Cricetulus griseus: one gene and its partners. The protein of the gene in region 1 interacts with the protein of each later gene in a pairwise test. Links are inferred from orthologs where the notes say so. Each region holds a gene or a part of one and is shown on either strand. Other genes may lie near its edges.

The links. The genes of interacting proteins can lie anywhere in the genome.
Region 2: the proteins of Bag6 (region 1) and Spp1 interact in binary tests that used the Homo sapiens proteins (3 or more experiments, as listed by UniProt). The link is inferred for Cricetulus griseus from reciprocal best matches to the Homo sapiens genes BAG6 and SPP1.
Region 3: the proteins of Bag6 (region 1) and Efemp1 interact in binary tests that used the Homo sapiens proteins (3 or more experiments, as listed by UniProt). The two-hybrid records come from large-scale screens. The link is inferred for Cricetulus griseus from reciprocal best matches to the Homo sapiens genes BAG6 and EFEMP1.

The regions. Positions count from the first base shown.
Region 1 is NW_023276806.1:231,657,479-231,661,504, forward strand, and holds the start of Bag6 (large proline-rich protein BAG6), read left to right. Parts: upstream 1-1,211; 5' UTR 1,212-1,235; intron 1,236-1,439; exon of another isoform or gene 1,440-1,698; intron 1,699-1,729; exon of another isoform or gene 1,730-1,920; intron 1,921-2,231; exon of another isoform or gene 2,232-2,373; intron 2,374-2,474; 5' UTR 2,475-2,487; coding exon 2,488-2,595; intron 2,596-4,026. UniProt on the Homo sapiens protein: ATP-independent molecular chaperone preventing the aggregation of misfolded and hydrophobic patches-containing proteins.
Region 2 is NW_023276807.1:166,254,800-166,257,116, reverse strand, and holds part of Spp1 (osteopontin), read right to left. Parts: intron 1,631-2,317; coding exon 1,550-1,630; intron 1,029-1,549; coding exon 987-1,028; intron 4-986; coding exon 1-3. UniProt on the Homo sapiens protein: Major non-collagenous bone protein that binds tightly to hydroxyapatite. Appears to form an integral part of the mineralized matrix. Probably important to cell-matrix interaction.
Region 3 is NW_023276807.1:78,368,402-78,371,920, reverse strand, and holds part of Efemp1 (EGF-containing fibulin-like extracellular matrix protein 1), read left to right. Parts: intron 1-1,922; coding exon 1,923-2,046; intron 2,047-2,137; coding exon 2,138-2,333; intron 2,334-3,519. UniProt on the Homo sapiens protein: Binds EGFR, the EGF receptor, inducing EGFR autophosphorylation and the activation of downstream signaling pathways. May play a role in cell adhesion and migration. May function as a negative regulator of chondrocyte differentiation.

The DNA.
Region 1 (4,026 bases):
CTAACAGTTTTGAGCAGGGGAGAGGGAGTAAGAGAAGGGTAAGGATCGCCAGATCCATGCTGGACACACTCACGCTGGCCAGAGTCCGACTGCCATTCAGGCCACCCTTGGTACTTACTATCTTGCTACAAAGCAATCACAAAAACGTGGGCGGTGATAGGCATGACCGTTCTATTGGAGTGATGCTCAGGCTTGTGTGTGGGAGCAAGGGATCAAACCCAAGGCCTTGGGCTTGCCGGGCAAGTGCCCTCCCACTCCAGCCCTTCCAATTTTATGAGGACACACTAAAAGGTGGGTTTAGGGTGCTTGATACCAAGCCAAGCCTGAGGACCTGGCTTTGATCCCCAGGTCCCCACAGTGGGAAGGGGACTCCGGTATGTTTCTCCACACTTAGGCTGCTGTGGTAGATGCAAGGCACATAGCCCGCCGCCCCCCCTTCCCCCTCCAAAAAAATGTTTTTAGGACAGAGGTGGGTGGATCCCTGAGTTCCGGGACAGCCAGATCTACATAGTGAGAACCGCGTTTCAGAAAAATAAATAAATGACGTCTGGCCGGGTGCCACAGGGCGACTTTAATGCCAGCCCCGGGCAGTGGCGTGGAGCTGTGGGGCTGTGGGGCGTGAGGAGTTCCAGGCACTTCAGGGGAACACGGTGAAAGCCTCAGCATTCAGGCTGGGACAAAGCAACCACTGCTCACTAAACAGTGCTCACTGCCGGCGGGGATGAGCGGGGAACCCCCAACCCCTTCTCTCGCCCTTTAACCCTGTGGCCCGGGCACGCGCGCTGGGGGTTTGCTTGGTCTTGTCTTTTCCAGAGCGCTAGCGCTTCCCGGCGTAGCCCAGGCCGGCCTCCGGGGGCCGGGGTCACAGGCGCGCGCCGGCCCCGCTTCCACCAGCGGCGAAACGCTCGGTGGTCTTGAACCATGGCGCTCCCTCGGGCGCCCTCGACCAACCAACGACCCTCAGCACACGCCACAGTCTGCGAGGCGCGCAGCCGCCCGGTCCGGCTCGGGTGCGAGCGCACACGGCCCACGGAACGTCCAACCGTCGGGCGGCGGGGGGCGGGGGGGAGCGGCTTCCGGGAGCGCAGGCAGTGCGGGAGGACCAGAGGCCCTGCCGGGGCTTAGGTGGCTAGGGCTGTGCCCGTGCGTTTCCTCTGCCCGCCCAACGCGGACGCAGGCGCACGGCGTGCAACAGCCCCACGAGTCCCCCACGGGCGTCCACAGCGTCTCTCCGGGTAGGGGCGGCATCCCGCTCAGCGAGGGTTTCCTTCAGGCGTTACGGCGGCCACCTCGGCCGTGCGGCGCTTGCGGGGCGCGCGCCGTGGGGGTGGGGGCGGGGGGCGGCGGAGAAACGCACGCAGCCCGAGGCGAGGCGGGGCGGGGCGGGGCGGGGGGCGGGGCTGCGGTGTGCGCACGCGCCGCGCGGCTCACGCAGGCGCAGTGCGGTCCCCCGGGCGACGGCGGCGGCGGCGGCGGCGGCTCCTCGGGGTGGTCGGCTCCCTCCCATCTAGGCCGGCCCCGGCCCGTCTCGGCCCCTGGGAACTCACTGTCTGGGGCTGCGGACTTCCTCGTCGTGCCCCGCAGAAGCAGATTGGGGGGAGCCTGGGGGAGCCGGAAGTACCGCCTCGAGAGCCCCAAATACGATCGGGGAAACGGAAGTGGCCTGTGGTGCCCGCTTGGGGGAGGCCGGAAGTGACGGTACGGCGGGGAGCCGGCGGGGGGGGCGGAGCCGCGGGGCGCTGCGCCGCGCCTCGCCGTGTGTGTGTGTGCGTGCGTGCGTGCGTGCGTGTGTGTGCGTGTGTCTGTGTGTCCGTGTGTCTGTATGTGAGGGGCCGCGTGTCGGGCCGCGCGCGCTGCTGCTGCAACGCCGGCGGAGGCGGAGGCGGAAGGACGGGCGGCCAGCGAGCCGGTCGGGCTCCCGTGAGTGTCCGCGTCCCCGGCGCCTGTGGTGCTTGAGGCGGGTTCGATCGCCGTGGCGCGCGTGCGCGGAGCCACTTTGTCCGCCGAGCGCGGCGCGGCGCGGCGCGACCCGACCCTCCCCCCGCCCCCCCCTCGCGTTGTCCTCGGCTCTCCCGCTCTCTCGGGCGCTTGCTGGGTCGCGACCGGTGATGACAACTGGTGTCCGGTCGGTCTCGTGCTTGCTTGCCCGGCTCGTAGCCCAACTGGCTCTCCCGACCGTGATTGGCACCGTGGAGCCCCTCCCACCGCTCGCCCTTCGCCTCCCGGTGCCGTCCCCCTCCTGCCCTTTGTGTTTCTCCTCCCGGGCCTCGGGGCCGAGGAGGGGGCGATGAGGGCGAGGACGAGTGGATGTGTTTGTGTATGAGAAACTTTGAGAGGGATCGGGGCGGAGGCCGGGCCCGGACGCTCTTCCGGGTGTGTAGAAGGCGGGGCGGGCGGGCGGACGGACTGACGGGCGAGCGGGCGAGCGAGCGGGCGGCGGCGAACCACCCCCTCCCTCCCTCGTCTCTCCGTAGAGAGCTGTCGGCCATGGAGCCGAGCGATAGTGCCAGGACCGCTATGGAGGAGCCCGACAGCCTGGAGGTCCTGGTGAAGACCCTGGACTCTCAGACTCGGACGTTCATTGTGGGGGCCCAGGTGAGGCGGGGGGAGAGGCGGCGGTGTGTGTGCCCGCTTCGCTCGTGTGCCTTCCGAGGGGCGAGCCTGCTTGTCTTGTCACCGACTCCTTTGTCCCTCCCTCGGTAGAACCTCTGATGTTCCTGTTGAGTGAGGAGGTGTGGTTACCGTTGAGTGAGGCAGGTTTTGTTCCGCCCGCCTTCACCTCGGTGGAGCTCGGTGGAGAGGGAAATGCCGCGGAGGAATCTGTACCTGGCCTGGGCGGACCTCTGCCCACAGGGACACGGATGATTCCGGCCTGGGGGACCGGAAGCAGCACCGGGGCCTCAGACAAGTGTGCTGTGTTTGCTCTGTCTTTGAACAACTTGTTCTCGGCCTTAACACTGTATTTATAGATCCCGGGAGCCTGCTTTTGTGCTCTGTTCAGGAGGATTGCCAATATCTTGAGGGGTGGTTTGAACCTCCCGAGCTTACAGGGTGCAGTGTGGGCACAGTTATCTTTGTCTTTACTGCATAAATCTTTTCGGGAACAAATCATGAACGGGTCACTTTCGTGGTTTTATAAAACATTGGGAACACCGGGTACACTTTCGTGAGTAGGTGTCTGATGGCCCTTACCAAGAGTTACTGTCTAATTTGGAAGATTCTTTTTGGGGGTGGTAGGGACAGCAATACCTCATAGAGCTCAGGCTGGCTTTGACCTTCTGACTTCCATCCTCTGTGCTAGGATTTTAGGTGTAGCATACCTGACTTGTTTTAGGTTGTTTTGTTTAGTTTTTCCCCAATAGGGTTTCTCTGTGTAGCCCTCTCTGTCCTGGAGCTTTATCTGTAGACCAGGCTGACTTCAAATTCAGAGATCCGCCTGCCTCTGCCTCCCGAGTGCTGGGGTTAAAGGCGTGCTCCACCATTGCCTGGCTGAGGTAGGGTTTTAAGTGTCTTAGAACTGATTGTCTTTTGGATTCGTCATCCTCCTGTCTCTGCTTCCCAAATTTGGGGGTCTCAGGTGTGTGCTACCACGTTGGTTTGTTTGGGTTCTTCATTTTCCCTCCTCCCCTTATTGGGGGGGGGATGTTCCTACTGGTGTTGAACCCTGGACCTAGCACAAAGTACCTACCCCTGAACTCTAGGAAACCTCCTGGGCTCCCTTCTTACTTCTTCATTAGTTATCTTCCCAGACCCTGGATCCCAACCCAGTATTACTTGCCATTGGTGGAAATGGTTGTTTGAGGGTGTATCAGGTGTGTCATCCCCCCAGGTTTCTCTGTGTACCTCTTGCTATCCTGGAACTCAATCTGTATAGCAGTCTGGCCTAGAATTCACAGAGTCTGCTAAGATTAAAGATGTTCACCACCACCTGGCTTCAAAAAAAATGTTTTTAAGACTTTATTCATTTTTGTTTTTGTTTTTGTTTTGTTTTGTTTTGTTTTTCGAGACAGGGTAGCTGTGTGGCTT
Region 2 (2,317 bases), on another chromosome or scaffold:
AGTCTAAATCAAAGATCAAGATGGCTCAGTAAATTAGTGTTTGGGTTTTTTTACACTGTGCTAGTTTTCTTGAATATTTTAGTTTAATTTCAAGATCTTTGCATTTACAATAAATTCAATACTTTCCATGGTTTCATTGTGACAAAGTGGGCCTCATACTTGCTTTTTAACACAAGAATAAATGAAATAACATTCTGAAGCACTTTTTTGGCTTCTTAATAAAATGTTATTTTCTTAGATATTTTCAAGTCAAACTTATAAGTATGATGCTCATATTACTAACAAGTTTTCCCTTGTAAATAGTGTACATTGTTCATTTACTGAATTTATTGAAGTAATAAGCATAAATAATGTTAGTTTGATTTTTTGTGTGAAACATAATCCCTCAAGATATCATATTATACCTTAATATAGAGATTAAACTCTATAGTTGCCTCCCTATTGTCAAGGATAGTCAAGAGATGACTCTGTATAGTACACGGGTTTACAAACAATGGCCCAAATCCATATCATGAACTAAGGATTAAAGACTATTAAACTATAAATCTGTGGTTCCTTTTTAAATCTAACTTTCTTTATCAGAGTTTATCTATCTATTTAAATTGAATCCTAAGGGAAAATTTATTTATTTGCTCAGCAAATAGGAAAAAACACTTATCAAATAATCTTTAACATTAGCAACAGAAACATTTTAAAGTAAAAAATCTTGGCTTTGTTAAGCACTGATGGTCTGCTTATCAAATATTAGTTAAAGCATCTTTAAATTACCTTTCATACTTTATAAGAGGCTTAAAGTTTCAAGTAACAGGTATAGGTAGACGATTTCTGAACACTAAACTGAAAAACCTGTGTATTTTGATGATGAATGAATGCATTTCCTTCCTAAGCAAGCTTTTGAATGGCGATTCACTAACAATCTGAAGGGAACAATGAAGTAGCTTCCTCCAGATCTCTAACAGTGGGAGTCAGTGAGTGTGAGAACTTACTTCTTGTTTAAGATCATCTGTTTCTTCAGAGGACACGACATTCTGAAGAAGAAAGGCCACATATTAGCATACACCACACATGCTCAGCTGCTTAGTTCAAAGTTATTCTTTTCAGTCTAAAGCTGGTCACTTTTTTTTTAGCCTGGATGATGATTTACAGTGGGACAAACCACCATAGTGTATGCATTGTTCTTCTAGGCACTCATTCACCTAGAAGCAGGAAAACCCCACTTACTAGCTTGTATGGTTTGATTAGTAGCTGTCTATTATCATTGTTAGGTGTTTTGCTTGTTTGTTTGTTTTCATATTGTTTTATCATTTATTTGTTTTATTTTTGTGGTCGGTATTTTGCTTGCCTTGTATTAGTGTACTGTGTGCATGCTGTACCTCAGGAGATCAGAAGATAGCAGCAGATTCCCTGGAACTAGAGTTACAGAAGGTTGAAAGCTGACATCTGGACACTAAGAACTGAACCAGGGTCCTCTGCAAGAGCAGCCAGTGCCCTTAATAGCTGTCCCATCCCTCCAGCTCTGTTTCAGTTTTGAGAAATTGAAAAACAATACCTGTGGGGCTAGGAGATTTTGCTTCTGAGATGGGTCGGTTTCCAGCCATGTGGCTACAGCATCTGTATGTTTGCTGTAATGCTATTAAAAAAAAGTGTGTGTTTGTCATTATTAAAAAATAAACAAAGGGATCTGCATGCCACAAGCTTATAAAATGACTATAGTTTCTACTCCTGAAGGAAAAACATAATATATACTCATACTTCCATGCAAAACTTCAGAGATTATAAAAATATAACTTATTTTTTTTATTGATTCATTTAATGGTACTCTAAATAGCATTTACTATGGGACTTGGCTGTTTTCAAAGTGATTTATAAATATAGCTTCAGTCCTTTCAACTCCTTATGCGGTAGACATCAATATTTACCTGTTAATACCAAAGAAGAAACTCAGCCACATTGTGGCTAGGCAGTAAGAAGTGGCAGAGCCAGCATTCAAACCCAAGCACACTTCCTAGTCTACCTTTGCTGGATGAAGTTTTCTCCCAGGTAAACACCCTTAATTACTATTGATCCCATTGTTTTCTCTCCATAGGACAAAGAGGAATTCTCCAAGGCAGTACTTCATATGCTGGTGTCCTTAGCTATAGGTAGCTATTTAAATGTAAGTTTAGATTAAATTAAATGTAGTTAATTTCAATATGAATTAAGATAAAAAACAAAGAACTGAATCTCTCCATTGAACTAGCTACTCAAGTCTAGTGGTTAGCAGATAGCCATTGCATAAAAATTCTATTGTACCAAGCTGCCAATGGTGGAAACAGAA
Region 3 (3,519 bases), on another chromosome or scaffold:
TCCAAAGAGCTGACTTGAAGCAGGATTAGGTAAATCACTTAAGGAAAGCTAAATTAAAGAATGAAAATACTCACTTATAGGAAAGACATGATTCATAAAAGGATTCTGTGAGACAAAATAGAAACTACAATTCACATAGAAATTAAGTGGGAATTACATAATAATATGGATATTACTATTGCTAGTAACATACAGTAATGCTTGGCTAGTAAAATCCTTTCTTCAGTTATCATCTAGGGATCTAACTGGTCTGTCTAGTTGGTCTCCACCACCACTCTCATTCTCAAGACTCTCTCCCCTCTGTCTGCTTCTGTTTACATTGCCTTTTCCTTGTGTGCCTAACACCATTAACAGTCCCTTCTTCCACCCAGTCCTAAAATATCTCTGCTCTGAGGTGGAACACTTCATAGCTCACTTTATCAGTGCACCCCCCTTCCAGAGCATCCTCTGTCCCTGTCCCTTGCAAACTGTTGTTGCCCCCCCTCTCTCTCTCTCTCTCTCTCTCTCTCTCTCTCATATGTGTGTGCCTCTCCCTCCATACCCTTTCCCTGAAACAGCTGCCCTCCCTTAGAAATATTCCCCTCATGCATGAGAATTCATCTATGCACCACCTTTTTTTAAAATTAAAACAATCTTATTTTACATAGCAATCCCAGTTCCCTCTTATTCCATTCCTCCCACTATACCCCATCCCACCCCCATCCACTCCTCAGAGAGGGTGAGACCTCCCATGGGGGATCATCAAAGTCTGTCACATCATTTGGGGGAGGGGCTAGGCCCTCCTCTGTGTATCTAGGCTGAAAGAGTATCCCTCAATAGGGAATGGGCTTCCAAAGCCCATTCGTAACCTAGGGACATATACTGGTTCCACTGCTAGAGGTCCCATAGACATCCTAGGGCTCCCAACTGACACCCACGTTCAAAGGGCCTGGTTTGGTCCTAAGCTGGTTCCCCAGCTGTCAGACTGGGATCCATGAGCTCCCACTTGTTCAGGTCAGCGGTTTCTGTTGGTTTCCCCAGCATGGTCTTGGTCCCTTTGTTCATCACTCCTCCCTCTCTACAACTGGATTCCAGGAGTTCAACTCAGTGCTTAGCTATTGATCTCTGCTTCTGCTTCCATCAACTACTAGATGAAGTCTCTAGGATGGCATTTAACCTAGTCATCAATCTCATTATAGAGGGAGAGAATTTAAGGTAGCCTCTCCAGTATTGCTTAGATTCTCAGTTGGGGTCATCCTTGTGGATCCCTGGAGATTTCCCTAGTGCCAGATTTCTTGTTAGGCCCAAAGGTCCACTTGAGATGCCCCACTTCCATTCTCATCCCTAATCCTCCACACACAATCAGCTATACATGAAATTCGTAGTGCTCTTACCTACATCTTAATTGCACTCTACTCTGAAAGTAACGGTTGCCCTATCTATATTCTCAACTATGTTATCAGCTCCTTGGAACAGAGAAGAAATTTTTTGTTTGTATTTTGTTTACTTTCATATAAGCAAAGTCATAATCAGCATTTGACTTTGAATTCAGCAGATGGACAACTGGCAAGAGATAAAATATCAGGAAATGTCATGCATTAGTTAGTCCACAATGGCTCAGCTATATCTGTCTTGATGTCACTGTAGCTGACTTAGGTCAGTTCAGTCTCTTCACTAAGAAAACTGAACAGGCCAAGTGTGGTGGTGCACACATACATATATAAGGGGGCTACTGCAGGAAAATTTTGAGTTCAAGGCCAGTTTTGATTGCACTGTGAAGTCCACACCAGCTTGCTCTCCACGGCAAGACCCTGACAAATAAAATTAAATAACAAAAAACAAACCACAGTCTAGAATCCTTCCTGTATCCTTCCTTACAAACCAGAATCTGCCACACATACAATTTACTTAGGTCAATAAACTCTTTAACCCTGTGCCTACAGATATCAATGAATGTGAGACCACTAATGAGTGCCGAGAAGATGAAATGTGCTGGAATTATCATGGCGGCTTCCGTTGTTACCCACGAAACCCATGTCAAGATCCCTATGTTCTAACATCAGAAAAGTAAGAAACATTAGAGCCTTTATATTAAAAGTCAGAAGTTTCTGGTCCTCCTGAGCCAAACTGGTGACCACTTCTGTGTTTGTCTCTGCAGCCGATGTGTTTGCCCAGTGTCAAATGCTATGTGCCGAGAGGGGCCCCAGTCTATAGTCTACAAATACATGAGCATCCGATCTGACAGGTCTGTGCCATCAGACATCTTCCAGATACAGGCCACAACTATTTATGCCAACACCATTAATACTTTTCGGATTAAATCTGGAAATGAAAATGGAGAGTTCTACCTACGAGTAAGTATGCTTAGACAGTATTGGCTGGTGGAAAGGTGGCTGTTCATTGTGTTCGGTCACATGGGAGTTGATCTAAAACCTGGGAGTTTCCCAGGTAGGCATTGTGTCCAGCCTCCTGGGGTACATGTGGCAATACTACCAGATATTAAAATCTAATCTTTACAAGCCACCCCAAACTCAAGCCATAGAATCTAATAAAGCTATGTGTGACTTCCCCAAAATACAAGCATGCCCCAAACAGGTACTACAAATGCATGCTGTCTAATTGTACAGAGAAAAACACTGAGAGTTTTTCTTGTGATAAAGTTTGTGGGTTGTTTTGATGTTTACACATTTAATCTGTCCCTTGATATATTAACTTCCTCCTTGCTCCAGAGTAACAGGATTCTATTTCTTTGCCAAAAATTAGAATTGATTAATTTCTCAGAGCCAATTTCATTTTTATCATTTTTTATTTTAAAACAATCTTCTCATTTTACATACCAATCCCAGTCCCCACTCCCTCCTCACCTCCTGCTTTCCACACCTCCTCCCACCCCACCCTTCATCCACTCCTCAGAGATGGTGAGGCTTCCCATGGGGAGTCAACAAAGTCTGACACTTCACTTTGAGGCAGGACCAAGGCCCTCCCCACTGAATCTAGGCTGAGTAAGATAGCCCTCCAAAGAGAATGGGCTCCAAAAAGCCAGTTCAAGCACTAGGAATAAATCACGGTCCCACTGTCAGTGGCTCCACAGACTGCCTATGCCACACAACTGTCACCCATATTCAGAGGGCCTACTTTGATCCTATGCTGGTTCTCACTCTGTCAGTGTGGAGTCAATGAGGTCCCACTAGCTCAAGTCAGCTGTTTCTGTGGGTCACCCCAAAATGGTTTTGACCCATTTGCTCATATTATTGTTCCTCCCTTTCTTCGACTGTACTCTGAGAGCTTGATCCAGTGCTTAGCTGTGGATCTCTGCATCGCTTCTATCAGTTGTTGAATGAAGGGTCTATGATGATAATTCAAGTAGTCATCAATTGGGGAAAGCTAGTTCAGACACCCTCTCCACTAATGCTGAGGGTCTTAGATGGGGTCATCCCTATGGATTCCTGGGAAATTTCCCTAGCGCCAGGTTTCTTGATAGCCTCATAATGGTTCCCTCTATCAAGATATTGCAGAGCCAATTTCTAAAGGCAAAAACTC